Lepisosteus oculatus: one gene and its partner. Each later gene encodes a partner of the first gene's protein in a complex. Links are inferred from orthologs where the notes say so. Each region holds a gene or a part of one and is shown in the gene's direction. Other genes may lie near its edges.

Region 1 (14,942 bases):
GTGCTTTACAGGTAATGGGGACTCTCCTCCTCCACCAGTGTGCAGCCCCACCTGGATGATGCGCCAGTCTGCTCATCACACACCAGCTCTCATTGGGGAGGAGAGCAGAGTGATGAAGCCAGTTTAGAGATGGGGATTATTAGGAGGCCATGATTGGGAAAAGCTAGGGGGAAATTTGGCCAGGATGCTGGGGTAACACCCCTACACTTTTTTCGAGGAATACCCTGGGATTTTTAATGACCACAGAGATTCAGGACCTCAGTTTTACGTCTCATCCAAAGGACGGTGCCTTTTTACAGTATAGTGTCCCCGTCACAGGCAGTAGGGCAGTAGGACCCACACAGACCGCAGGGTGAGCAACCCCTGCTGGCCCCACTAACACCTCTTCCAGCAGCAACCTTAACTTTTCCCAGGAAGACACTTTAAGAACACACTGTTGCATAAATATAAAGGGGGTGTGCTTACCTGATTAAAAAGATGTTTATTAAAAAACAAGATACTAAATGATCTCTGCTTTCTAACCCCCACATTATCAAAAGTAGTAAGTTAGATGCATGCAGGGAGAAAAGCTGATTTTGCAGCTAAATGAAGTAAAGCCTCCTTAGTCCAGGTTCTGCAATTAAATTGTAAAGGGAAGGTGAGGAGGTGTAAATGTGCACAGCTTGCTTTCCTTGACTGTGTAGTTAGGATGGTGTGTGAGGGTTTCAGGGTTTGAAGTTTTATAGGTTAACCTGTCTGTTAAGGCTCAGTGCCATCCAATCACACTGTTCTTGTCACCCGCAGGACTGTGGCCTGAAACCAGACACCATCAGAGTGACGTCATTGTCATTGTCAGGCAGCGCACTCCTCAAGAGTGAGCAAAACACATGCTTTCACTAGCAGTATAAAGAGAAGTTTATGTTTAACAAATGTGAGTCTTTTACATGTACAGCATGCCATAGTCTAAGAAGGTGCATATGGAGCATTTTGATCAATCTGTGCAGGCTGACTTCTTTCTATCATTGTAATATTTTGAAGGTACCCTTCAAAATGTGTTTTTAGGCAGGAGGCAGTGCTTTATTTTCTCTTAGCATAGCCTTCTAATAAGAAAAACGTATTTTACAAATAGCTTTGTTATGTTGTCTTTGAAGGCTGACAATGTTTTTTATTATATATTTCTTAGTTGTGCTTATGTAGCTATCAAAATCTCCAACGTCAGCTTTACTTTACCGAGATTTGTTCTTAATCGTTGGAAATCAATCTCATCGAGGAATTATTGATGTAATATTCAGGCTACAGCTTCAGACCTACAAAAACAAACGGACAAAGAGAGTTCCATCTAGTGGAAACTTGAAGTACTGCAATTACTTTGTATACGGTAGCACAGGAGGATACTGACCGATTTCCGTTTTCGTAGTACAAACATGAAATTCCTGTCAGAGAACATAATTTAATACAGTTTTATGGTTACAGTGTTCCTTACTTTTGCATGTGCAATGACATTCAATGAAGCAGAGAAGGTGTTATTGTTATGGACATTAATAAGACAGCTGTAACAACATTGGGAAATCTGGGAGAAGGTTCCCATTGTAGTCATGTGCTTACTCTCCTGTCTAATCTTTAGAGTTCAATTTTTCAGCCTTGTATGCAGACACTTTTCTGTGAATATCAGCCAGAATGGATGAACACAGTAGGAATTTAAAGAGCAATTACATTAAATTCCTCCCTTAAAGAGCAAAGAGCCAGTACCTCCCTTAAAGAGCAAACGTTGTACAGATTTTTAATGTTGTTTCAGATTTGTAAACTACCTGACACTAATTGAATTCCAAATTCTGTTCCAAGGTGGTTAAATAAAATGTTATGAGAATAAATCAACAGAGGTCTTGAAAACCAGTAGATCTCATTGCAGCAAGGGATCATTCGAGCTATCTAATTCTTGTCACCAAAAGCCTGAAACACAAAACTGCAGGATTGGAGAGATTGTAACAACAACTTTATTGTCTGGGAAGCAAAACTGTTGATGTTAGTTAAACATGTCGTGAGGGTTCCTACATTCTTTCAAATGCACTGAATTGTTCCAGCTCTTCTTTCAATACATGTACTGTGAACATTTAGACCAAAAGCCCTTTTCCCCCCTAAAAAAAGTTTTTCCTCACAAGTCTTGGTAACCTACATGCTCAGTGAGCCATACATATTGTACACACATTGCTTGCCTAAAGTGGGCCTTCACAGAGCACAGAGCACATCTCTCTGAACTCCCATAGCAAGCGTACCCCTGGTGCACATTGGCTCCAGTGAGGGCCAGGATCCCTAGAACGCAATCAGACCTGCTTTCCTATGATGCTCCAGCACACATCCAGAGACCGATTCCTTGGAAGGATTTTTCTCTTTTAAATAAATACAGTACTAACCACTTTGAATTTTATTATGGTACTTTAAGCATTTTCCCCATCTAAATACCTGCCTTCTGCAAATCTGGGGTTGTTTCTTAAACTATTAGCCCGTTTTTTTAAATCAAACCCAGTCAGAATATTTTGGGCCAGTACTTCCCTTACCATTGTATATTGTTGACTTACCATACAGATGGGTACAGTTTTAATATGAAGAAAATACCCGCCCATTTAAACGTGTGAATGATTAATTTAATGTTTCCCATATTTGGTTTGTTAAATTATTGGTCAGAATTTTCTGATGGAAAAGTGGCATGCTGATAGTTTTTGATGACTAAAAATAATTAGAAGACTCACAGATTTTCAAGAACTGGAGACTTCCTCTCTGATTTTAAGAATTCCACCTTGTGTGTTTCGACACACAACAAAGGTGACTAACATCTTGATTAAGGAAAAAAAACAGGTGGAAACAATGCAGAAGAAGAGCTTGATTTTTAAAAGAGTGCCTACAAAAAAATTCAACATTTTGCAGTGTCACTTCTTAGAACAATCCACTAACGTTACTTATGCATTATTTGTGATTAACGTAGAATGATAAAGGATGAAATAACCCAGAATTAACATTCACAATTTAAAATATCATTACATTAACTGAATATTTTATTGTTACTAAACCTGATAAAAGTTTAATATGTTGGTTCCAGAACCATGACAAGGGGAAGAATAAAATTGTTGTTTTATTGGTATTTAAAGATGAGAAATCCATGTAACTATCACTTTTTTGCAATACTGTCTTTGGATGCATGGCGGTAAGGGCTGCTTCCTCACAGTCATGGACTCTGGGTTCACCTACTATGGTCTTAACTCCTACTATATGGACTTTGCATGTTCTACCTGTAAGTATGAACTTTGCCAGGTGCTCTGGTTTTCTCCCTCAGTTCCAAAACATGCTTACTGATGTTTCTGAATTGTGTGTGTTTCTTTCATCTTTTATTGTGGTCAAGTCTTCCATCCTCTGACAGACTAGAGTCCCATCTAGAGTCTAGAGTCTAGACTAGACTAGACTAGACTAGACTAGACTAGACTAGAGTCCCATCCATGGCGTGGCCGCGGCTTGCGTCCTGTGTTTAAGGGCACTTTGAGTTGTTCTCACTCTTACCATATTTAATAATGGTTGGAATTCAGCCTTCTTACTCAAAAAAAGGCTTAAGATTCATGATTGAAATGTTGCAAAAGCAACGTACGTACAATCTGGCTTTCATTACTGATGCACATTTAAGAGTTTGTATCCATAACAAAAACATTTGCAGTGTGGGAAATATATGTTTCTTTTGATATTTCCCAGTTCAATTTCCAGTTAATTCTCTTTGGCAAGAATAAAACCTTTTGAAGAGTGAAGTAATGCTGGAATTTATTTTTTAAGATTCCCTCCGACCACACTTTTTCTGTGACTGCTGAAAACAAGGTTGACTGAAGTTCATATACCCTGGTCAGGCCTTCATTGATCAATGAATACAATACTTTCGTTATTTATTTTTATTGTAAGAAAAATATTATTTAATTTAATAATTAATATTATGTTATTCAATATTATTCAATTCCAGACCCACAGTGCTATTTGTGTACAGTTTGTAGCTTCGTTTTATTAGTATTTATTATTCATTAATCCTAGCCTGCTCACAAGGTGTAATTCCACGCTGGGAGCAGAGCTCCGCTGAGACAGACTAAAATAATCATATCTACTGTTGTTGTAAGAGGTAAAATTACTTGGAACTACAGAACTACATCTGTCTCTGACTTAAAACTTCAGTTTCATTCTTTTTTCTCTACCATTTGTTTTTAGAGGAAATCCTTTGAAAAAAGTATAAAGAAATGTAGAGCATTCATAACCAGTTATCTCAGACTACAGTCAAAAGCCCTCAGTGCAGAAACAGTGCTTTGCTTTTAGAAATTCATAATTCTTATCAGATGCTTTTAATCCTTCCTGCACAGAACTTGCCCTGTGCCATCACCACCGGAAGCAAAATACATTTACGCTGTTCAAAGTCTGTGGTAAAAGTAATACAGCACTAAATGTATTGGTAAATGGGATGCCTGACTCCATTAGTAATTATTTTACATATATTCAGACAAAGCTGACTAAAACCTGTCTGTAATTGTGTTTAGAAAATGCTGGGATTACCTTCATATTAAACAACAGATGTGTGATTCTTCTGAATTATTCCAAAATCATCTTTTTGAGGATTTTACTGTAAATGAGAATTTGTTCTTAAACGTTCTTTGGTTAAAGGAAGGCTATTTTCTACGTTCTAAGTTAATTAATATTTTAAGAAATGTACAATATATGCATGAAAAAGCTTTTGTGCTAAACTTTCAATATTTTGTATATAGACTACTGGTCTTATCTCATTGGTGACTTGAATTATCTCAGTTAGGAAATTTGTCTCACCACCACTTTGGGAGTTTGAAGGAAACACTGACCCTAATAAACCCTGTCTCCAGTGCGGTGGGGTTCCTGTCTGTGTCTGTACAGCAGACGGAGGGCCATTTTTACAAGGTGCCAATTCTGCGCATGACAAGTCCCTGCGTTTCGAGTATGACACGCTTCACCTCGAAAGCTTTTGGGACTCGATTCAGTACACATCATCAAATCAGGACAATTGTGATAGATAATTTAAAGATTTAAAATAATACATAAATAAATATTATTATTGTACCACAAATGTCAATTGCAATTCCTGATAATGACCCCAGACCCATTTATGTCGCAATGGAGTGATCCGAGTGAAGTTCCCTGCTCAAGTAAATAACAATGCCCCGCCCATAGTTTGAACCCATGACCCTCCAGTCGGTTAATCGGTCTGTAGTCCTCACCAAATACCTCTACACGATGTTGTTTTCTTATACAAAATACTTTAGTTTAACAGAATATAAAATGAATGCCAAACAACTCAACGCTTAAAAAGTGGTTATGAACCTTCACCACACGCAAAAGTTTTAATCGTACAGGGTTGTGATTTTAGATCATGTTCTGAAAGATGTCTGCGGCTTTAAAACGTATTATATTTCAAGTACCTGCCTGACATTTTAATATTAAAACACTATTGAGACTCCATATTGAACATGAAAAAGAAGACATCTGAAGCACGTTTATCATTAACATACCGTGCAAATACAGCTCTTTTTATTAGCCCCGATATGGCCCACCTCTCTTTGTCAGTATTTTCCATAACGTTACGCAATTAGGGGCTGGTCGTCGGGGTGCGTCTCTGACATGGCTTTCAAAAAACAGGATTGGAGAGCTCTATTTAAAGCAAACCTAGTTTTGCTTTAAAAGGTGGGGCACGTAAAAGATCGGCTTTGGAAAATATTGGCTCGAGAGCAAATTCAGAGACTAGCAGGACGTGATATCTACAGTACGTCAACCTGTTTTTTCAAAGTATTAGAAGATTGGGCTATATATTTTTTAATCCAACTATACTCAGATTTTTTCTGACCCTTGTATAAAGTAGAATTCTCACAACATTATTTTCTGAAAATCACAGTTTTTTTTTTGTAAACAGCAGTCCAAAAAAACACAATGCATATAACAATGAATGAAGATTATATCCTATCTCTTAATTTATGTCACATTATTGAAGACTTGTATGACTTGTATATCGTAGTGGGTTATTATGATATGCGTGTATAAATTAGAGTGGACAAGGGGATGCTTTCTGGTGTATTTTGAAGGTATTTTCTTTAGTAACTGGGGAGAAGGGCTTGCTCCCTCCCAAAATCCACACAAAACACTATCACATTAATGTCCCTTCACATTTTCCTGAGCCCTCATTTTATTCCGTGTGACGTTTGCACACTCTCCCCAGATTTCAGTTTCCTCCAACAGGCCAAAGACACGCTTTCCGGGTTAAACCTCGTCTCTATGTTACCCCTCTCTTGACGTGTGAGTACACTGGCCTCCCACCCAGAGTGTAGCTCCGCCTTGCACCCTGTCTGATTAGGCCACGGCTCACCGCGACGCTGCAGATAAAAGCAGTAACCGAGAAGGTGTGTGTGGATTGTAAGATACACGTATAATCATTAAATTAGGAATTTAAAGTCATATTTATATTGTACCTAGAAATAACTATTTTGTCAATTACAAGGAAAGTGTTAGCAATAACGCAACAAAATCTAATTTAAGAAACAAAATGCACAGCTGAAAACCTGTTTCTTGTTGTCTTAAAGTCAAAGGACGCGACAGATTTCTACCTTCAATCTCCATCGCAATGCACCAGGAGGCCGGACACGTGATTTTAAATTGGACTAATGCTGTACTATGACCCATGGGGAGAGGGAGGGCACAGTTGTGTTTTCCAAAAAAAAAGTTCGAGTTCGACATGTTCATCGTTGACAAATAAGCACTTCTCATTTTCTACATTCACATATCACACTGTATCATTATTATTGCACCACCATATTCCTAACCCACACCTGGACACGTCACGATGGCAGTTTGCTAGTGAGTGCCGTGGCTCAACTCTTACCCGATTGTGTTTGTGTAGCGCCGTGGGCGTCTTCGGCGCAGTGGAAACTCTGAGAGAGAGACCCACCCACCTTGAGCTAAACACATACCGAAAGTACTTCCTTGATCTGTTCTCATTTAAGGACGAAAAGACCTGAAGCACGGGCAAGCAGGTTAGTGTTATCGTTGATAAAAGTTTTATTTCTTTATTTTTATGACCTGACAGTAGTGTTCTGTTAGGGTTTGCAACATGCAGAGATTTAAAATTTAATTAAGGTGAACTGTGGGTTTCTTAGAGGAGTACGGAGCGATAGGGTCCCACTGTTACTTTACAACAATTCAACAAGAAAAAGACTCCCATTTTCTCATGTAATGTTTTACTTGCTAAATGCAACTTTAATGCATGGTTAAAAATAGAGCGGTAATCCGTAACGAAAAAAACAAATAAGAGATGGATTGCTTTGTAAGGTTTTGTAACCACAAGAAGCCGTTTGAGCTTGTTTACAGTTTGTATTTACGTCTTTAGTTTTTAAATATAGGTGTAGTTTACGGCTGCAGAATAGGCACGACACGATCGTACTGAATTTTACGCTCCTCCAGGCTGCCATTTTGTAAGGATTTTAACAGAAAATGACCACTGAGGCTGTTTGCAGCTATCTGGGACATCGATTTCTCTGCGCTGTTGCAGTAGTTGTGCTTGCGACAATTTTGGTTTACTGTAGTTTAGAGGATGTTTACTTTTAGTACGGCCGTAAATAAACTGCTTTCATTTATAAAGGAATTGTCATTAAAAACTTTAACTGCATTGCTGTCCAGAAGGAGTTATTTAGTATTACTATGCTACGTTATAAATCTTTTAAAAAGCTATTTTGTAAATGTTGGCTACCTGTAATGTACCCAATTTAAGAAATCTAGTCTTCCGTCGAGTTTAAAGGTGAAGAAAGCCCTAGGGCCACACAACACACCCACCCACGCAAACGGAGTTCATTGATTCATGGTCAGGTGTCGCTGACGGCACGCTTGAATATTTAAATTAGTGTACTTTTTCCTGTGAGGGACGTTAAACATCAACTACTCCTCGGGAGTTCCTAAAATGTACACTTGAAAGAGTACATTATACCAAACACCTTCCTCTTCCGTTTGTAACCAGTGTTCGCTTCTTAGAGATTTAAGAGTAACATTGATGAGGAAGGAAGTGCATGCATTTCAAGGTTGCTTAACTCTTACACAGCTGCCTTCCCGAAATAGGTGGTCTTGTATTAGATCTACTTTTCAATGAAGAAAAGTTTTTAAGTTCAGGGTGTGTCTGAGCATCCATTCCTCCATGACTGCTGCTAATGCATTTGATGTGACAGGGGGTTCAAAGTGTGGATCCCAGTCTTAGCAGGTTCACTGTAACCAATGAAATTGATTGGATTTACATTGAAAACTAGGCTGTCTAGACATTACTCTTGTCAAGTCTAATGCTTGTAGTGAATTGTCAGTCTTTTCAGATAATAACTCTTTGTTCATTGTAGCTCAATTTGCAAAAATAAAATTGCCGTCATGTATATTTTGTCTTTACAATGTGGGCTATTTACTTAAAAATTTAAATAGAAATACAAATGTAAATATTTCCCCACTGATTTAGAAATCCTTTATTATTGGTAAACTCCCACTTTATAGTGTTTGAATTTGACAGGCAATTTGCCCACATTGGGAATCGGGTCCACTTCTCTGGCATTGATCAAATACAATGGACATTATAATCTTATTGAATTTGTGTGCTTCATGCCAGAGTGAAAGAGAGGCTTGTGATTTTTGAGGCTCTCTGGGATGTGTCTGTGACACAAGCAGGGAAATAAGCCATGCCCCGTTAAGTGAATTGGAAAGATAGTGGCCTTGTCTACTCAGCAGGGCTAAGTTTAGGCATGAGACTGACAGGGCTATCTGGGCCTGGTTAGCCGGCTAATACTAAAATTGACCTTGGCGAGAATTCTGCCCTTCCTATTAGTGTTTTCAGTTGCACAGTTTATTTCTGAAGATAACCTAATTTTATAGAACTGAGTTTGAAATAAAAAATAATTTAAATAAGCTGTCTGTTACAGAAGCTAAGGTTTCTGTGTCATTGAATATATAGTGGCAATGTAGGCTAATTTGCATAGTACCATGCGCAAATTAGCTAGTGTTGAATTTCCTCTTTGGCATCGTTTTCTGTGTGTGATGTTGTATTGAAGTGGATTTCTCAAATCTAGTTTGCATTATATATTTAAATGTTCTGCAGATATGTAAAACTAAGGACAACTAATTAAAAGAGCCTGTACTTCCTAAGACTGTTGAAGAAGGCTAAGATATCTCCCCAGATCCTCACTAGATTACTAGATGCACTACAGAAAGCACACTGACAGGGTGCATCACAGTGTGATATGGTAACTGCAGTATTGCTGACCGCAAAGCCCTACAGCGGGTGGTGAAAACTACCCAGTCCATCACTGGGGTTGCTCTCCCATCCATCCAGGACTTTTATGACAGACGGTGGTTGAGGAAAGCTTTTAGTATCATCAAAGACCCCACACACCCCAGCTACAGACTGTTTGACCCTCTACAATCTGGAAAACGATACTGGAGCATTCAGGCCCGGACCAGACTCAGAGACAGTTTTTACCTCCGCACTATTAAACACCCAGCCTCTCTCACCTACGATCTGAACCCTTACAGTGCCTTCTCTCTTTATGAGAACTATAACACACATTGAAATCTACCTCTACCTCACATGTCAAGAAGTTCACTCCCCATAATTTTGTATCCTTTATTTCATTCTGGTGATGTATGATTTTGCACAACTGATGTTGTTTTGTATACTACCTGTTACCTGTTGTTGTTTTGCACATTGCCTGTTGTCTCTGTCTTATTCTTATACAATTGTATGGTTGTTTTTTTTGTACTACTTACCGTCTGAGTGCTAGTTAAATAGCATTTTGTTAGACTTTATACCTGTGTATGAGTATAATGACAATAAACTTGAACTAAATTTAAAAAAAAGGAAGAGCATATTATCAAACCTGACAAAAATTATGATTATGACCAAAATTTATTTTTCATGCCTTGGTTTAGGATTCCTTCATCATTTGTTTATTTGTGTTCATACCTCTTTAAAGGTCTTCCATATCTGGTACAAAGCGTACAGTGAATAATGCAGTGTTATTTTTAGGCGTGTTGTTCATGCAAGTTGATAACAATGACAGCATGTTTACCCAAAACACTGGTCAGCGATGCTGAATTGCGCACAGGGTCAGAATTTAGTTTTATTTTATGTCAAGGTCCTGTGTTTGTTGATCTATTCTTCACCATCTCTCACTTGGGCCTGAAAGCTGGTTTAAAGCAACATGAGACTATTAAGCATCCACTGTCACTGTGCATCTATTATTTTACCTTTTCCACTACATTAAAAAAAACAGTTTTTGTGCTCAACAGTATATTTGCTTTATACAGTAACTAAAACTATTTTGTTTGGATTTATGTTAACATCCACAAGCTGTTGGCCTCGTCGCTTTCCAGCCTAGTTACTGTTTCTATTTTCTGTTTTTCTAGTTGGAATTAATTCCAGTAAAAGCTGAGCTAACATTGTCCAGAACTTTGGATGCTCACATTCTGCCGTTGCTTGTAGTCCTCTCACCCTTGGGAGCCTTTTTTCTTCGTCTTCTGCCGGAACACTAAGATAAAAAAAAGCTCAAGCTCTGCTGTGATGAAATTATTCATTAAGAAATCACTGGTCTTTTTCCCCAGATCAAAACAAGGAAAGGTTTATGCGTTTGGAAAGTTTCGAGAGGAATCTCTCCTAACATGTGGAATAATATTTTCCATTCCAGAGCTAAACGATGAGTTATCCAGGATATCCTTCCCAAGGTGGCGGCTACCCCCCCCAGCCCGGCGGATACCCCCCCCAGCCTGGTGGATACCCCCCTCAGCCCGGCGGATACCCACCCCAGCCTGGTGGATACCCCCCTCAACCCGGCGGCTATCCACCCCAGCCCGGTGGATACCCCCCTCAGCCCGGCGGCTACCCTCCTCAGCCTGGAGGCTACCCTCCACAACCTGGTGGATACCCCCCGGCTTCTGGTGGCTACCCATCTGTGCCTCCTGCCGGTTAGTCCCACAGGAGTTTATTCGTATTCTGCAAGTTATACAAGCTCAACCACCATCATGGTGGTTAAAGTGTCTCTTCCTCCAGATGCGCCAGCGCTAACCTGTGCCTGGCTTTTTATCTACAACAGATTTGTTACACTACTTAGAAAATATCATGAGCCTGTTTTCATAATGGCCAAAAAACACTAGTGTGAAATTATATCATGTTTAAACCACAGGTCTCTGGCAAACTTCGAGACGGGCACATCGAGACAGGACAGTTAACGTCTGTGCATGTTGCTTTGGCAGCAGCTGATCTGAAAAGGACCCCAAAAAGAAAAAGTTCCCATTGAATGAATTTTATAACCTGTTTTACTGGACAGAAGAGCTGTGTTGTTCATTATTACAGCACTGTATATTTTAGACAGCCACACTGTTTTCATACTACTGTCTTCCTTTGAAATTACACCGCAGTGCATTACACAATTTTACAGATCTCCATAAAAATACTTATAAAATGTACTATTATATTTTGTATATAGATGTCAAAGAGCTAAATTCTTCTGCTGCTAGGGCTGCTAAAATTCTACTCAATTTTAAGCGAACGTTTGTAGTGTAGAAATGTTCTTTGTGGAAATAGTGTATTTTCATTATAAGAATGTAAGAGTTACAAATGACCTATGTTGCCCTCTTGCTGGTCAGTATAGATTTGCTCCATGGGTCTTTCTCAATTTTCGCTAATCTTTGTGTATGGAGACAGACTGTGGATATGCGCAGTCCCTCCTGATTTCCACTGGCGGCATCAGGGTTCTTCTCTGATTTTATTTTTGCCTTGAAAAATGGTCCATTGGGTTTCTAAAGAAAACAGTTTTTAGTTGGGTATAAGATCAGCAGTATATGACCAATAATCAGGATTTGTACAAGATGTCTGTTTTTTTTTTTGCTGTTGAAGGCGGCGGGTCCGGCTGGGGCAGTGCACCTGGCTTTTCTTCCATCGGACTCGATAATCTATCCAATCCTGGATTCACCTCTGGCTCTATCGGAGCAATGGTGAGTTCAACAGAGATCCGACATGGCTGGTGGTGAGAGAAAAGATTCTCTTTTTAAAAAGCTGTATTAATAATAATAATCGCTTACACTTATATAGGGCTTTTCTGGACACTCCACTCAAAGCGCTTTACAGGTAATGGGGGCTCCCCTCCACCACCACCAATGTGCAGCATCCACCTGGATGATTACTACTGGTATAACTATTAATTTGGGCATGGTTCTGTTTGACCTATGCCAGTGTGTCCGATGTTACCTTCCCAAGATATCCTGGTGGCAGCAGGAACACATTTCCAGATTTCACATCCAACATAAGGGGAATTGCATCAGTTCCCATGGAGGTGTTTGTTTTCTGGGATCCAAGTTTTGTTTTCCATGCATTGCATTTAACAGTGACTACTCAAAACCAGCAGTACCTAATATGACACCATACTTAGGGAAACAGGAAAGCAAAAAGCAGAACTATTTTACAAGAATATGGAGTCAAATTTCACCAGCTATTGAAGTCACGCATCCAGGTTATTATCTTAACATAGCATGTCCTGGAGCTGCTGTCATGCCTCCAGTACAGTCTACAGTGTACACCTGAGTGCTGAATAATGTTTAAAGAAAGTATTTTTCAGTCTGGTACTTTGCAATAGCTTTGAAAGACTCTTCTTCTATCTTGACTGTGACAATGTGCTCTTGATTAGGTTCACTTGCAGGTGTTCATGATAAGCAGCCTGTGAACCTAGCTGTCCACTCTTTATTATTTCATTGCAACTGACAAAACTAGTGTCCTCGCTGTTTTTGCTTGAATCTCTTTGTGCAAACTGCAAGAGAAACAAACAGAAGAAAGAATGACCACACTTCTGAAGATGATAGTTGTGTTCTTACATTTCAGTGGAGAATGAAGTGCTTCTTGTTCTTATATTAACACCATGTCTGTTATAGTTTGAGTTAATGTTGCTCCTTGTCGCTTGTGCGCTTTGGGTTCGAGAGGGTTTTTAAAAATAAATTTCTACTGTAATAATGTTTGGTTTTGATGATCAGCTTGGATTTTTGTTGTACTGTTAGGAAGGAGTGGGCAGGATCTGGCTTTTCTTATGGATGTAATCCTTGTCACCAGGCTGACCAGATTTCGGCATCCATGGGCGGAGTGAATCCTAATCCAGCGATGTTCTCCCAAGCACCCAGTGGCTTTCCTGCCCAGCCAGGGGGATACGGGGGGCCTACCCCCAGCCAGCAGCCCTACGGCATGTACCCGCAACCAGGAGGAAACATGCCCCAGGGAATGGGATATCCCAGTGGTCCTGCCCCTGGCCAGCCCATGCCAAGCTTTCCAGGAGCTCCTGCAGCCAATCCATCAATGCCTGCTTACCCATCAAGCACCCCTGGTGCCCCAGTGGTCCCACCCATAAATGTAAGAAAATGGGGAAACCCAATTGAGATGAAAGACTGCAGTCTTAAGGAGCAGAAGATCGATTTTGTTTTAGAGAATCATATGGTTTCAAGTACTAGTAGCATAAGAGCTTTATCTTGAGCTCTCCAACTGAGAGTGTCGATAAACTTGTTTGCAATTTTCTGATTTTCATTTACAGTAACATAATGACTAGGCTGTTCACAGGGGTGAAGTGAGATTTCCTGTAACACTTTGATCATCACTTATTTTATTAGAGAGGCTACCGAGGCACAATCAAAGACTTCCCAGGCGCAGACCCGCTGAAGGATGTAGAAGTCCTTAGAAAGGCAATGAAGGGCTTTGGTGAGTTGCTCTGTGTAATACGCTTACATTAGAGTACCACAATAATGGCACAAATCTCCTCTTACTCAAAGTCAAAATCGAGCTATTTAGTAATCTCCCTGGAACTGTTAACTGTGTTTAAATTAATCTGTAAATAACCGATCTATTTTATCAGTCAGTGTGCTTGTTGTTTTTTTCCAGGCACGGATGAGCAAGCTATTATTGATCTTCTTGGAAGCCGCTCCAACAAGCAGCGAGTGCCCCTTGTGATTACCTATAAAACTGCTTATGGGAAGGTAAGACCAAAACAGCAGGTGCCTGCTGTGGATTTTCCCAGGCCAGCATAATCCCAGGAAAAGTCAGTTGAATGAGTAAGAAAATTTATTACATCACCACCACATAGTGACTCTCCTCCTGAAAACCACCTTCTGTGTTCTGTTTGTCAGTGTTCATTCGAAGGTATCACACGGTGTCTTTTAATGTATTATTTTTTATTTCAATCTTGTTTTTTTTTCTTTTGCGCATTTTCCCCCTTAGGATTTAATTAAAGATTTGAAATCAGAACTTTCTGGAAACTTTGAGAAAGCTGTGCTGGCCATGCTGAAAACCCCAGTGATGTTCGATGTCTATGAAATCAAAGATGCCATAAAGGTTGGTGGAGCCTTGTGTCTGTCATGGGCAAACGCGAAATAAAAACCACGACTCCAGCGAGGGGAGATCTGGAAATGCCCAGATCCCAGATCATGTTTGCCAGCTTTTACCTGAGCAGTGGAAGTGTGACGCAGCTTTTTAACTTGAGGCTACTGTGGCTAGAAAAGGCTTTTTGTTGTCTTCATATATTATTTATCATTTCTGTTCATCACTGTTAAAGGCAAAAGAGACTGACAAAGAGTCATTTACAGTGTATCCCTCAGTGAAAATGTTTTTTTTTTAAATGAGAAGGAAAACATTCATCTCTTTGTATCCAATGTTGTGGATGCATGAAATATGTGATGAAACAGTGCAGTTTGTTTTTGATGTAACAGGGAGCCGGTACAGACGAGCAGTGCTTAATTGAGATTCTGGCGTCCCGTTCAAATGAAGAAATCCGTGAGATCAATAAAGTTTACAAACAAGGTGAGTAGCTGGCTGGCAAGACTGATAAAAGCGATCTCAAGATGCAGATGTTACTGAAGATAAGATCTGGTTTAAAAAA
Region 2 (15,579 bases), on another chromosome or scaffold:
AGCAGGCCGGAGCGCCGAGGACCAGCAGGCCGGAGCGCTGTGTCCAGCAGGCCGGAGCGCCGAGGACCAGCAGGCCGGAGCGCCGAGGACCAGCAGGCCGGAGCGCCGTGTCCAGCAGGCTGGAGTCCCGAGGACCAGCAGGCCGGAGCACCGTGTCCAGCAGGCTGGAGTGCTGAGGACCAGCAGGCTGGGCATCACCGCAGCCTGGCGAAGAAGGGTTCTGGTGCAGCTTTGCACCACACAAACAAAGGTACAGGTACCCAGCTGAGCTGTTCAAATCGATACCCTGGTTTCTCTGAAGAAAAGACTGGACGAGATCCTGGGATTAAATTCAATTACCTACTTCCAAAAGGCCCAAATATCATCTCATTCCCTTGGGTGTTTAAATCTAGGTCTTGGAAGACACTTTGGAATTAGAAACACAGAAATAATAACAGAACTCTCAATTTACACTACATGACGTACATGACATCATCCTGCAAACACTGGGCGATATGGAAAGCATGAGGCTAAAAGTTGAGATGCTGAGCCTTTTGTCATCCAAGTTGCTCTGTACACAGAGTACTAGATCACATTGTTTAAGTATCCATCAGCAGAGATAAAAACACCTTCTCTTTTGTATAATCAACTTAACTTGACTAGGTTTTGAGATTGATAAAATGTGTATTGTTCATCTGAGAATTCCAGCTTTTAATGCAACATTCTGGATGGTTTGAAGGGTTTTTCAAGTACTGAATGAACTGTAATTTCAGGATTGAAAAATCATAAACTCTTTGAAGAGTGAGAAATCCTTTTCAGATAGACGTTGTTATACAGTAGATGTGAAACTAACAGAAGGTACAGGCTTAAACTATGGTCTATTTATTCTTCACTGTATTCAATAAGATAAATTGCAACTAAATTGTATTAATTTAGTTGCTACTGTATGTGACAATACAAAAAGAATACTTACCACTACATGGAAAAACATTTTCCATACTCCAGTATACTCTGTATGGCATTTCTCTGAAAGTCAGAATGACATCCACTCTAAAGAATAGCTGCAGAAGTGATTCACTTGCAGAACTCGTGCAACTCTGTAAGAGTTATAGGAATGAATAAATACTTGTCTTCTTTATCACCAAGCAGAGGACAATACGTTATTCCTGGCATTTATGTTCAAGAAAAAGAAATGGGGTTTATTATTAATGGAACACAATAATAAATAAAGATAAGACTGTCACACACAAAAAAAGCTGTGTGTACTAAATGTAAGGGCAAAAAATATCCTGAGTTCTGCACATGGTGTTAGTTGGCTAAGCAGACAAACTCACCTTCCTCTGGAGAATGTGATCTGTGGGGACTGTAAGCTGGAGAAAGTCGTGGTTTTCAGACACTGAATAAACGTCTGTTTGTTTTACGATTACAGAGAGTAGGTTCAGGCTCTCCCTGTCGTAGCCAGCCCTCTTGATTAAGCCCATCCTGCGCTTGGAGATGTGCAATACAGTCTCATCTGCTGGGGAGCTGGACACTGCAGGATGAGAAACAATCACAGGGCTGTCCACGCACGGAGTGACTCCTAGTGCCCGGGGGACTGCTGGCATGCAGGAAGCCCGCAGTGCCACGACAGCTGAGAGGCAAGACCGAGCTGATGAGGAGATTCCACACTGGGATGGGATGAAGGACTGGGGACTCTCGGAGAGAGGAGTAGCGCTCCTGGCTGGGGCTCGACCTGAACTGCACAGAGTCCCGAGGAAGCGTGGCGCTGCTGCTTCTTTGCTGACTTTAAATAACCCCCCCCCAGTGGATGGGATAGGATGGGATGGAGGGGAGATTCATGCCCTGAAGTTACTGCACTCATCCCCTCACACACTTCCAGCCCTGTGGTTCTCCTTGCTAAACATCCAGTGGGGAAACAGCCACTGCTACAGTTTTCTCCTCCTGGACTTCATGAACTAATCTGGGTGGCGTGTTAATTACTGTAAAACACATCAGATATTTGTAAGGAAGCTGCTGTAATTGCACTGTATGTGTGGAAACGTGTTAATGTGTATAGGCCATGTTCAGCTGTGCATTTAATATTTAGCAGTATTATACTAGATTGATTAAAGTTTTTTGTACTATGATTAAGTGATACGTACCGTTAGGGCAGTTAGCTTCCATGCTGTAGGCATAGTACCCACTGACTAACCAGAGAGGCAAGACGTCAATTGCTCTTCCCATCACCTGTAAAATATGGTATCAATTCATTTTCTATGCCACTAATAAGGTTAGAAAGTTAGAAAGGCCCGGTTCTGTTTGGTTCTGCTCTCCAGCGACGCCAGATTAGGAAATGTAACTCTCATGCTGCCCAGCCTGCAGAATGTCAAAGGGGACGGCAGCAATACAGCAATACTGAACAAGTTAAGAGACGTGAGCTGGAATAAACAGATTTCCGCTGCAGTTCTTCAAGGCCACACGAGATGGCAGTGTGATCCTACCCGAAACACCCAACTGTACTTCGCCTACAGCTTTAGTCCCGTCTCCACTCTGAGCGTCGGTTTAGAACAGGTAAATTCCGTGTTATTGGTAAAGAATATAAAAAGGAGGTTCCTTACCTCCACTGAGTCCATTATTTCCTTTCTCTGGCCCTGCACAGTGATGTTGGAGCCTCTGGTTTCAGCGCTCAACTGGATCAGGCTGGAGTCTTCCAGCGCCGCTACCAGCTCTCCTCTCAGAGACAGGGACCAGCGCAGCTACAGCACACACAGGTAGATTATCCTCGTACACTTCTTGTCATAGTTTCCATTTTTATAATGTTATTTGAAAGAGAGGGGGAGTAACACGGCGACTTTTTTAATTAAAAAAGGTATATTCATGTAGAAAACCCTCAATGTAAAAACTCATCAATCTGGTTTTGTGCAAAACACTCTACCTCATTGTTCCAGCTGTCCCGGTGAAGCGGTCTGGTTACCTGTGGAAATTATATAACAAAACGTAATTCACTTCGTTCTACTCATTAAGAATTTTAAGCATTTCCCTTCATAAACCATAAAGCCATTTGCACAGGCTGAAAACGCAAGGTCCTTAATGAAATACAGTTTGTCTCATTCAACTACTTTGTTTTTTAAACTGTTCATTTGAAAGCTGCAATTGTCCCACTATGTGCCTTATTATTAGAAGCTCAAGATGCATTGAACCACTGTAAGACCACATGATTCCATCCGTTCTGACGCAGCTATGACTTCTGCCTTATGCAAACAGCTGCAGACGTCGTGCTTCGGTAATCAGCATTGCTCAAGTCCCAGAAGAAAAAAAAAACATCTCGGCTCACTTGAACATAGTCAGGATCGCAGTGAATGTGAACTCCACCAGGTGGCGCTGTCACCAGCGGACATTTCATGACAAGTCTGTTACTTCTCCCACCGAACCTTCCAGGTCTTTTCATCAGGTTCAGTACCAGGATGTAGTTGCTGTGCTGGAAAAAAAAATAAACCCAATCATATTGGTAGGTTAATTGGCTTCTGGGAAAACTGGCCCTGGTGTGTGTTTTTGTGTGTATGTGGACTGTGTGCGTGTGTGCCCTGCAATGGACTGGTGTCCCAACCAGGGTGTATCCTGCCTCGATCTTGCTGCTTACTGCTTGCTGGGTTCGACTACTGCTCTCCTGCAACCCTGTATTGGCTATTGGTCTCCATCAATTGGTGAGAAAATTGATGGAGACCAATAGCAAGTCACGTCCCTGCAATAACTTCATACTGAGGTCCCATCTGAAGTCATAAACTTTGCAGAAGCCGGGAAGGCCACTCAGCCTGTCTGACTCGTGTGTTAAATGATCCGAGGACTTCATCCAGCTGTTGCCTGAAAGCAGCGGGTGGATTTGATACAAAGGTTCACATTCCTGCAGTAAAACACGAGTTTCAAGCAGTGAAACTGGAACACGAGCACATACAGTAATGCTCGTGTAACTTCTCAGGAAGTGTTTCAGGACATAGAACTGGCAGCACTTTTTAACGGGGGTGTCTGGGAAAAAAAGCTAGCACACCCTGCTGCTGAAGCCTGGTCCCTGGGACTCCCCGGGAAATGCCTGGCTGAGGTCCTTGGATCAATAAGAGATGAACCTCAACAGGAGACCTCTTGATTGGCGCATCCTTGTGTCCTTATTTTCCCCATCTATCGCTAGCTCGATTTTGAGCTGGAAGGGCGTTTTTTGTTTTTTAAACTGCCGACTGGCATCCGGGTGCCGAAGGTGCCGAATTGACTCGATCCAGGCGCCGCTACATTCGCAGAAACATACTTCCAGCCGGACGGAGCAGCCGCTGTACATCACTCTGAAACTGTAGTGCCGGTCTGCGTCTCTGTGGAGCGCGTACCCGCAGGCGGACAGCCGCCAGCTCAGCTCCTCCGGCGACGTCAGGCTGACTGAGTTTCACAGGAAAGACAAAAGGTGACCAAGGTCGCGTCGGCTTGACAAGAGGAAAGACACTGCCAAACCTTATTGTTCTTCCTATGAGGCCCGAGGTAATTTGAGTCAAAAGATGCAAAATCCAAAAGGGTCACATGATTTAAGTAACTGCCAAATATTGGAAATCTTACAATGCGAATAGCATTTTTTTTCATCTTAGTTCACATTAGGCAATGCATTATTGCAATGCATTTCATATTACAGTGAAAACAAAGACACTGAGAAGGACACCCAACGGAAGAAAACATGATTGTTTTTTTTTTTCCTGGAGCTTTACAGCCGTTTTATTCAACCTTGCGTCCCGGACGAGGCTCGCGAAATGCAAAGTGAAGCTGTTTTACGAGCGCCGTGGGTGGCTTCTGTAATGTTTGGTGTTCGGTGTCCTAGCTTACACGAGAGTTCATACAATACTGGAGCGTTAAGTACGTTTTACAGTCAATGCACAGTATTAGACCCGTATTTCATCCGAGTTTGCTGCGGTTTAGCGCTGCAAACTTCTCACTGGAGAAAGACACCGGTAAGTGTACCGTTGTCTGCTGGGTCTCACGGCGCCGCTTTGTTCTAACGGTTTCTGGAGATACCGACAAAAAAAAAATCCGGAATCCCTCTGGAACGGAAAGATTTCTGTACCTGGAACTCTAAGCGCTCCGGCCAGCCAGAGTCTCAAACCTTCAGCCCTGCTCCTGTGCACCCACAGATCCATGTACTCTGTGAAGCACTCCACATCGCCCTCTGAAAACACAGCACACTTCAGACAGCAGCTCCTGGGAGGCCAGAAGACCTCGGCTCGGATCAGACAAAAAAACACAGCCCCACAAGCTATTAGAGACAGACAGCCTCGTCTTTTTCTTTTTACAGTATGTCCAACTTGTAAGAGGCAATTAAAAACGCATACAGCAGCTGGTCCAGATGTTATAATAGAATTCCCAGGCTGATTAAAGGTGCGTTTTACACTGTGAAGTACACTTCCTTGAGCACTTACCAAACCAGTTCATTGTTATTATTTTTTACTTTTAACTAAACCAGAGCAGATTTTCCGTGATGGGATGCACGCTGCTACAACCCAGAACAGTAAGGCTCCATACCTGCGCTTTGCGCTGCATCGCCAAACCCGTCTCTCGGTAGAACCTGAAACGGGCGCCCTCTAGTGGACATTGGCCAGAAGCTGGAGAAAGTACACAAGATAACGTACTACATTATTCTCTTTCAAGAAATCTAATAACACTTAATATAGTTACACCAATGTTATTTAAATGAAATACAATATAGTAAATTATATCATTTATGCAGAAGTACTAAACATCTCTACGACATCACACAAGTCTTCAGTAAATCATGCAAAGGAACAAGTAATAGGTTTATTCCATGCCGAAAAAAAGGCTCCACGGCCGAAACGTTGTGTTCTCTTCTTTTTTTCAGCATGGAATAAACCTATTACTTGTTCCTTTGCAGCCTACGCATGCTGACGCAGCTACCCACCTTCATTAAATCATTTCAGACTAGATGTATGAGGAACATACAACTACATGTATCTTCTATGCATTTAAATGGGCAGAGGCGTGTGTGCATTTGTTTTTATGCATCACATGCATGTAACGTCAGTGTCAGATCGTAAGACTCGTGTGCTTTATTTGCATCAGGGCCAGATCCTTGAATCTCACAGCAAAACGGGGGAGCCACGCTGTTCAATTCACAGTAACGTCCAGGAAATGGCAAAACAGTTTCCTCTGATAAAGCCCCTGCAACTCACAGCAAGGGAACGAAGCGTTTCCCCCAGCTCACGGCACGGATACTTACAAGCTCATGATAACGATACACGCCGTTATCCGGTCCATGGCGAAGCCCGAGAGGTGATGTGTGAGGCCCCCTTTACAGTGCCTGGGTATTTATCAGCACCGCAGGTGAGTCGCGTTTGTGTACACACACCCCACGCCCAGGACTGAGGAAGGAAAGGCAGGACACTGAAGAGTGACCTGTGAAAATCAACAGGAAGATGAGGAGGGATCAGAAGAGAGGCCGCTTCAGCCGCAATTAAGATGTAAATTGCGTGGTCAGTCTCGAAGTTACACATTACAAGTCATTTTGCCAAGGAGAATAAATCTGGAGCACTCTTCCCCTTTAACCAGCTTTTCGCATTATTAGATCAAATTCCAGTCTTCTTACAAAGGTTTTTAGAAATATGTGCGAACCTTAAGAGCTGTTTGCAATAAGGATTGTTTTATTTTTCAGTGTGTCACAGCACAGTTACGAAAAAAAACATTGTGTAAATTCACCAGAGGACTTAAGCATTCCTCAAATGAAGCAAATGAAGAAACGTGTGTTAAAAACAAAAATGCTTTTTTAGCTGCTAGCTAAAGTTGTTTCACGATACACAATTCGTGTTAAACAAGTCAGTGTAAACAATTTGCAAAAACGCTCGTGTGCTCCGAACGAATTGCGCGGTGTGTGTGTGTTAAAATCCGCAACAATGGCAGGTCCACTTGCTTTAATATAATACAGCAGAAAGTGAGAAGTCTTGCTCGTGATGAAGGAGAAGTGAAATTCACCATAACTAATTATATCAGATCCTTCCCACATCCTCAACTCTGAATATCAACTTCTTCCTTCTGGCAAACGTTTTAGGCTTCCCAAATTTAAGTCATCCATTAAAGCTGTCAACACAAATGTCAAGGATAAACACAGTTTTGACAACCCACTTGAGTGCAGTTTGGTTTTTGATGTGTTGTTATGAGTTATACTGTACATGTGCAATAGAATGATGTGCAATGTTTTTCTTATTTTTTGGAATAGTATAATGTGCAATGTATAATGTGGGTTTTTTTTTGCATTCTATTTAAATGTACAGGAGTGCTGGGTGTCCATAAAAACAATTCCCTCAGGGTACAATAAAAATCTTATCTAATAATAGTAATAATAATTGCTTACACTTCTATAGCGCTTTTCTGGACACTCCACTCAAAGCGCTTTACAGGTAATGGGGACCCCCCTCCACCACCACCAATGTGCAGCCCCACCTGGATGATGCGATGGCAGCCATAGTGCGCCAGAACGCTCACCGCACATCAGCTATCAGTGGGGAGGAGAGCAGAGTGATGAAGCCAATTCATAGAGGGGGTTTATTAGGAGGCCATGATTGGTGAGGGCCAATTGGACATTTGGCCAGGATGCCGGGGTTACACCCCTACTCTTTTCGAGAAAGACCCTGGGATTTTTAATGACCACAGAGAGTCAGGACCTCGGTTTTACATCTCATCCGAAGGACGGCGCCTGTTTACAGTCCAGTGTCCCCGTCACTATACTGGGGCATTAGGACCCACATGGACCGTAGGGTGAGCGCCCCCTGCTGGCCCCAATAACACCTCTTCCAATTAAGATAAGATAGACTTGACAGTATCATTGACACTGGAGGACAGCCCATGACGTGTAAGTACATGAAGGAAGAATTCCGCTTAATACAGGAGCAACGAAATCTGACCGACATCAATGTACCATCACACAGCCTTGCGGTCTTTCATGCCTCTGATGCCGTACCAAGCTAAGACGCGATACTGTGACGTCATGCCGTTTTAAGTGGAACGTACCAAGTACGAAAACGGGTTGGGGTGAAAAAGAGCGAAACAGCGGTTAAAAAACGTTAAACCTTCTAATTGCGAGTGCCGCTGTACAATATACTAGTAAATTAGACCCATAATCGATAACGAAAGTTGTTCGCTTTTCGACCCTGTAATTCTCCTTCATTTGTAGAAATAATGAGCCCACCCAAAACGATGATGCAATTCCCTCCATGAGAGAAAGGCGGCCATTTTGTTTTGAAGTTTGGGAAGAAAGGAGCGAGAAAGCGAGACTGTTGTGCGTGTTTTTTCCATTCGGGAGGAAAATAAGGAAAACGTAGACTTTCAGGCAGAACATTCGTCGCGATACCGCATTGTACAAGGGCATCCCGTCACATCGGATCGGCGTGGGCTGTATTTGCTGTACGTTGCGTACCGAAGAGCGCGAAAAATAAGTTGTCATTCATTTTGCAAGGAGTGTTGGTTTGGGCCCAATACGGCCGTCGGCTCCAGGTGCTGTGTTTTGTTTTTGTTAAAGCAGAGTTAGAATCGCTAAACTCTTTACAGCGGTGATCTCGCTCCTTTTCATCTAGGTCAGTATATTTTGGTTGTTTATTGTTTTGTTTTTTTTAAAAAAAATCCACGACTCCCTACAGTAAGGAGGGATCTTTTAGCTAGGAAGCGGCGGAGGGGTCCCGAGTATTTTGGCGTCCCGCGTAGAGAGAGAAGAGTTCGAGAGCGCACGAAGCGTGAAGATGGCCGAGCTGTATATCCGGGTGGCCGAGGATGAAAACGAGGAGCCCATGGAGATCCCCTCGGAGGACGACGGCACGGTGCTGCTCTCCACCGTGGCGGCGCAGTTTCCGGGAGCCTGCGGCCTGCGCTACCGGAGCCCCGTGTCGCAGTGCATGCGTGGGGTCCGCCTGGTGGAGGGCATCCTGCACTCCCCCGAGACCGGCTGGGGCAACTTGGTCTACGTGGTCAACTACCCTAAAGGTATCGATAGGTGTCGGTGCTCTTCGTTGCGCGGTGCTCAGACTTGCAGCGGTCGGGTGGGTCGGGCCCTCGTGGCCTCCTGGAAAGGGAGCTGGGACAAAGCGTCTCGCCCCCCGCCCACGCAGCGAGAAGACCCGGGGCATGAGAGTTGCGGAGATCGGAGCCACGTTTGCAAACGGTGCAGCAACAACCGCAAAAACGGGGACTATAACACCCCTTCAAATGCGCCGTTTAAAGATGCCCCTTGTTTTTAAAAAAAAAGTTGAGAGAAAACCTACCGTCTTAAACAAGCCCGCTCGCTCTTCGGCGCTCTGATAATGTGAAATTAGTTGACTTGATCAGCCCTTAATTGCAGCCCACTTGTAGTTAAAGCCAGAGACCAACAGATACTGTTGATAACTGAAAAGCTAATGACGTGCCCCTGGCTCTTAAAAACCATCCCTTGGAGTGCTTACCCTTTTTACTGATATTCTTCAGTAAAAGAGGTTAAATGCGATCTGAGGTAAAAAAAAACATGACAGATTAATTGTCCTCTTTAATGCATTATATGGAAGAGTTTTGTCAGAGGTCATATATACTGCTTTTATTTTTTGGAATGAGTAATTTGGAGACAGTTGCAGTTTGTCACACTTAAAAGTGAGTCTGCTTGGCACAGGTGTTGCATTCAGAATATATCTCAGGGTCTAGTAGGGGCTGTGCTTTGGGTCTTTGCGTTGGCCGGGCCATTCCTACCCTCCTTATGTTGAATCTGCCCCCCCCCCCCCAGATAACAAGAGGAAGATGGACGAGATTGATGCCTCCTCCGCGGTGAAGATCAAGAGGGGAGTGCAGAAGACGTCGGACCTGATTGTCCTGGGCCTGCCTTGGAAGACGTCGGAGCAGGACCTCAAAGACTACTTCAGCACGTTCGGGGAAGTGTTGATGGTGCAGGTAAATTGCCACTGAAGCTTGCTCAGTTGTTCTGCAGCCTTCCCTAACACCCCCACTACGTGCATGATGGGGCTCTTGGTGCAGAACCCCGTTTGCTTGACGTAACATTTTAGAGGATCAAGGTCCGGCACCTGGAGAAATCCCCGCAGTGGAAATGTTGTGTTTTTCTTCTAATTTTTTGCAGGGAATAAACCCTTACTTGGTCCTTGGCTGCCAACGCATGCTGGCGCAGCTCCCTACTCGAAATTCATAACATTTTAAAGTTGGTCTTAAGGTACCAGTGAAAAGTACAGTCAATGAACAGATAAAGGTTTATTCCCTGCTGAAAAGAAATGCAACATTTCAGCTGTGGAGCCTTCTTCGGGTGTCGGTACGGTCAGCTTAATTTGTAACATTGTTTTAAAAAGATAAACTGGATCTCTTAGTCGTATTTACTGTCCAATCAGTCATCCTAGTGGGAGGGGAGCAAATCTTGTCCAGCTTGGGATGAGAGGTGCTGCAATGTCACGGTGTGTCTTGGCTCGGTATGCTTACACAGCACTTGATGTTTCCCTTTAGGTTAAACGAGATGTGAAAACGGGAAATTCCAAGGGGTTTGGATTTGTAAGATTTACGGATTACGAGACGCAGGTGAAGGTGATGTCTCAGAGGCACATGATTGACGGGAGGTGGTGTGACTGCAAGCTGCCCAACTCGAAGGTAATGCCTGGTCTTTAAAATGGGTTGTGAAATATCAATTCCCTTCAGTGCTGCATGCTTGTAGCACTCAGCAGTATTCTTATCTGAAACCATCGCATAATTAACACGTTTAATAATATGATACCATGCTCTTTAATTAGGACTTGTTATTTTTTTTGAGCTTGCTGCTAAAATATTAGCGATCGACTCAATTGGTCCCTAGCCTAAACTTGCTTCATTGTTACCCTAGGGATAAGGATCAGTCATCATAGCTGTAAGTGAGACCTCTGAGCATTCACTGGCTTTACACATGACTAAAGTTATTTAAAGAGGTTTTTAATGTTAAAAGGGTTGGGGATTGTTGGTAACGAAGCCTCACCTATGTTAAGATCTCCTGGAAGTACAGGAACAGGTAGCAACCCTATGCTATTGAAAATGACCGTCTTTGTGCTGTACTAGTTTGTGTTACTGGTTATTGCTTTTAGTTCCGACACCACTGATGGGTTTGGAGGCCCCCAGGTGTCCTTACGGTTTTACTACGAGCGTTCTTTTTAAAACACCTTTCCTTCTCGCCTGATCCCGGAAAACAGCAAAGCCCGGACGAGCCCCTGCGCAGCAGGAAGGTGTTTGTGGGCCGCTGCACCGAGGACATGACTGCGGAAGAGCTGCGCCAGTTCTTCATGCAGTACGGAGAGGTCACGGATGTTTTCATCCCCAAACCTTTCCGGGCTTTTGCGTTCGTCACTTTTGCGGACGACCAGGTGAGTTGTTTCTTGCGAGAGAGCTCTTCCGTTGGCCTGCCTCTGCACATGGGGTGGGGGGGGGGGGGGTTCTGGCTCCTTGGCTGTGCTCACTCACTTTTCCTGACCTCCTGTTTTTCCCCCCGCAGGTTGCTCAGTCGCTTTGCGGAGAGGACCTGATTATTAAGGGAGTCAGCGTGCACATCTCGAACGCCGAGCCTAAGCACAATAATAGTAGGCAAATGATGGAGAGGGGGGGTAGATTTGGGAACGGAGGGTTCGGGGGCCAAGGGTTTGGCAATAGTCGGGGCGGGCTGGGCAACAGCCCCAACAATAACATGGGCAGTGGCATGAATTTTGGAGCCTTTAGTATTAACCCGGCCATGATGGCTGCTGCTCAGGCTGCTTTGCAGAGTAGCTGGGGGATGATGGGCATGTTAGCAAGCCAGCAGGGGCAGTCGGGGGCCTCAGGTACGACTCCCACTGGGCAGACCAACGTCTCCCGGGAGCAGAATCAGAGCTTCAGCTCTGGAAACAACAACTATGGCTCCAGTTCAGCAAGTTTAGGGTGGGGCACTGGCTCAAATTCTGGCCCGGGCACTGGGTTCAATTCAGGGTTTGGCTCCAGTATGGAGTCAAAATCGTCAGGGTGGGGAATGTAGGAAACTGATTTGAAGCGTTTCGCATTTCTAGAGTAAAATGGTAAGTATTTTGAAAGCTATAATTTTTCCAGCTCCATTTCTTAATATGTCCTGGGTATTTAAATGACATACTATTTTTGCCTTTCTTTTTGTAAAAGAAGAAACCTGAATGTTTTTGTACATTTGGCTAAATCTGCAAAAGATTGATGTACAGAGCAGGTGAAAGTGAATCCCAGTTTGCCAGGATGGTGAACTACAACACTACTTGTAGTGTAGGTTTTTTTCCCTTTCCCCCCCTGGTAAAATTCAGTTTGTGGCAAACCAGATTCTCTATGCATGAATTGTAAATATTGGTATTTTGAGAACAAATGCATGACATTCTTCATTCTTTTTAATTGCATACCTTGTGGAAATCCCCCACCCCCAGCAAACACACATTATGGTTTTTCCATTTATCTTGTATTGGGAGGATCTGGTTTTAAGTTTTGTTTTGCAGTTTTCTTTTTTAAAGTTTTACGGAAAAGCCTTCATTGAAATCTCTCTGCAGTTCATCTCTTTTCCAATTTCCCTGGAAGAAGCCCTTCACTGGCAGCAATGTTCGAGCGATCTCAGTATCAGTTCCCTTCTTCCCATGTGTAAATGCTTTGTCATCAAAGAGCGCAGCTTCACTCTGCATATACTGTGTTCGACGGTGGGTGTTGCATTTTTAACAACTATTTAACGGAGTCTTTTTTTCCTCTCTGCGCTGTAACGCAAGTTTGTGATGTGGAAACGGGCGAGCTTTTTATGGAGCGCTTTAAGAACACTTGAGTGGGATGGATTGTTGGTGCCACGAGTGAAAGGCTGAGTATGAGCGAGCAGAGAGAGGGGAGGAAAAAAAAAAGCACGTGTGGAAAGGACTGGTTGTGCTTTGGAACGAGAGCCCTTACTGACTTTGCGAGAGATGGCACGATCCTGTGGCTTTGGTGAGCGAGTGTGAACGGAGCAGCAGTTGCAAGAAAAGTACGAGTGTTTCTTTTCTACCACCACGAGGACACCCATTAACCTGTCATGAGATCCTAGGGATGTTTTTTTTCCTTGAATGAACAAGCGTTAAAAGTAGTTTCTAAATGTAGTGGAATGTTTAGTGATCTGAAATGAATCTTTGTATCTTTTCTGGCTGTATTATCTGACGTGAATGCCGTATGGTGTGTGCTTTTTTTTGTTTGTTTCTCCTTGTTATTGACCTGTAAGTGTGAACATGTGACCTGATGCTGGTGGAGCCTGTGATGAGGACACTGAGTGAGCTTGTGTTGTGTGGCCGTGATAAGCAAGTGAGCTCAGTGTGTCTCAAGGGAGGGTGGTGAACGTCTGTAAGAATTCCTTTAGAAAGTTTGCTTTTGTTAAGTGTTCGGATGCATTTTATATGACTTGTCATTGAAGGGAATTCTCAAATAAAATTAATTTGAATAGGTATTGGTCTTTTAATATGGCTTTTTTTAAACTTACTGTGATTGAGCCAAATGCAAAAACCTTATTTCACGTATTTAGGGACCATGGATAAGGAGTTACCCCATTCTTCACCGCTGATGCAGGTCTACTCTTGGATAAGGAAGATGTCTTTTTTTTTCAGAAGGCTGAAGACCCAGGCTCATTGGAGTTTTGTATGGTCCCAAAACTTGATAACAGTGGGACAGCAGCCATTGCTTCAAACCTGAAAAACAGGGGCTGTCTTCACTTTACAAGAAAATGGGAACCCATCTCTCTTGAATAATTTCAAGGACCGTTTTTAAAAGAGAGATGTGGTTATGAATAGCCATGAACATTTTTTTAAAATGTAGGTAAGTACTGCTGCAAGACCTTAATGTGGGTAAGAAAGACAAAGTCCCTTCACATTGGTGTGCAAGAGTTCTGATCCTCCTGCATCTCCTCCCCACCTTTACATGGAAAGCAACTGGTTTCTGAAAAAAGAGGTTTTTGTCCTGTTTTATTTAAGTTTTCAACGGTTTGAACACCTCAGAATGTGAAAAATAACTATCTGCTTTACGGGGGATGCATTTTGTGTTAAGTACTGTGATCCTCGATGATAAATGTAACAGTTTTGTTTCATTGTAATTAAACGCTAACCTTTTTTTTTTTAAAGTCTGACTTTTTCATTTTGAAGCGGTGTGATAGAGTTCTAAGTGTGTCCAGGTTAACCTTTTCCAGTGATGGCCAAAATGGTACTAAAATTTGTGAATTTGACAATTTCCAGGATTCATACATATCCACAGGTATTAAATTGTTCGTGAAATGAAGAGGGGTATTTGTTCTGGGTGTAGTTTAAAGTAAGGCTTCAGAGGGTAGTGCCCTCTATGAAGTGGTTGGTATACAAACCTGTGCTTTCTACATAGAATGTAAAGCCCTAATGTATTTGAAACACTGTCTAGTATTTTTCTGATCCTCACAAATGTGAAATAAATTGTTACATTTTCTACCATTTTTTTGTTTCCTTCAGTACATTTGGTGGGGTAACTATAAGCTTTGTATTAACTACTAAATATATATTGAAATTATATAAATGCACTCAAAAGGAAAGACATCACTTTAGTTTTGCATTTTAGACAAGTCCAGATTTTGTAAGTTATGCACAAAATCGTAGGTTTTTAAAATTTCTGCAGTGGTTTCAATGAACAACGTTAAAATGGCAAAAATTCACAACTTGTAAAGAATTTGTTTTGAAAAAGCTAGATTCTTGAACTGTGATTTTAAATCTTGATATTTAATGAAATCAAACCTTTTTTCTTAAATTAGGGGGATTACAGTTCTAAGAGACGTGGCCTTCTTGCAAGATGAAAAGTCAACATGATTGCAGGCACGAGATTGTTTTAAAGTGGGTTAGGGAGAAGTGGTTTGCTTAATTCTCTTGATTTTCTAGCATTACGGATTTTAATAAGGGATCATTTAAACATTTGTCAAGCTAGTATGATTAGCAACTGTTCAGTCTAGAGCTAGTTATAATTCACAGTTCTTGATTCTACAACTAGCATGATGAAATGAAAATGAATGTTAATAGAACCCTTCTGTTAACATACAGTTGTGTGCAAACGTTAAGGCACAGCCGGTTAAGTGGTTTGAACAAATCTCTTAAGTGAACAAATGTGGTACAAAGTTAAACTTGAGATTGAGGTTGGAAAACAATTTTACAAGAAAATTGGATTTTCTTGAGATTATAATGCAAAATTACTATTCAGTTGCTGATCATAAGATTGGAAAAATGTGGCATGTGCAAAAGTGAGCGGCTTTACATTTGATTTCTTGCTACTTTTTTTATTTGTTTTTTAATGGCCCCAAAATTTGATGAATGCATTATCAAATAACAGGAGAATAACAGGGTTGAACAACTACTCTGACCCTTCGCGATGTGATTGTCTTTTTTCCTACTTTCAACAACCATTGCCTCCTCTAAGCAACTGTCTGAGGACTTTTGACAAAAAGAATTCACTCTTACAGAGTAGGAGAAAACTGAAAAGATCTTCCATCTTGCAATTTTAAATGTCGCAAACATTAAAAAGGGGAACTAAAGGGAACATTTGAAGTAAAGGTCTGAAAGAGTACTTGTCCACAGTGCCGAGTTTCTGACCCAAAAATTAGCTGCATTG

What was found.
Region 2: the proteins of anxa11a (region 1) and tardbpa are in contact, whole or in part, in a cryo-EM structure (PDB 9FOR), measured with the Homo sapiens proteins. The link is inferred for Lepisosteus oculatus from reciprocal best matches to the Homo sapiens genes ANXA11 and TARDBP. Residues at the interface, in NP_001148.1 of Homo sapiens: Gly56, Met57, Ala59, Met61, Ser62, Gly63, Phe65, Asn69, Pro71, Asn72, Leu73; in NP_031401.1 of Homo sapiens: Ala328, Leu330, Ser332, Trp334, Gly335, Met337, Gly338, Met339, Ala341, Ser342, Gln343.

What each region holds. Positions count from the first base shown.
Region 1 is NC_090699.1:18,781,590-18,796,531, reverse strand, and holds the start of anxa11a (annexin A11a), read left to right. Parts: upstream 1-6,835; 5' UTR 6,836-7,046; intron 7,047-10,721; 5' UTR 10,722-10,730; coding exon 10,731-10,998; intron 10,999-11,929; coding exon 11,930-12,027; intron 12,028-13,132; coding exon 13,133-13,426; intron 13,427-13,680; coding exon 13,681-13,768; intron 13,769-13,948; coding exon 13,949-14,043; intron 14,044-14,284; coding exon 14,285-14,398; intron 14,399-14,772; coding exon 14,773-14,863; intron 14,864-14,942. UniProt on the Homo sapiens protein: Binds specifically to calcyclin in a calcium-dependent manner. Required for midbody formation and completion of the terminal phase of cytokinesis.
Region 2 is NC_090720.1:2,256,724-2,272,302, reverse strand, and holds tardbpa (TAR DNA binding protein, like), read left to right. Parts: upstream 1-8,232; 5' UTR 8,233-8,729; coding exon 8,730-8,970; intron 8,971-9,736; coding exon 9,737-9,900; intron 9,901-10,458; coding exon 10,459-10,599; intron 10,600-11,168; coding exon 11,169-11,339; intron 11,340-11,467; coding exon 11,468-11,980; 3' UTR 11,981-12,351; downstream 12,352-15,579. Other genes in the region: c25h1orf127 (uncharacterized protein C1orf127 homolog), read right to left, coding at 953-1,076, 1,314-1,510, 2,121-2,205, 2,577-2,714, 2,894-2,932, 3,293-3,436, 4,256-4,380, 5,054-5,155 and 2 more. UniProt on the Homo sapiens protein: RNA-binding protein that is involved in various steps of RNA biogenesis and processing.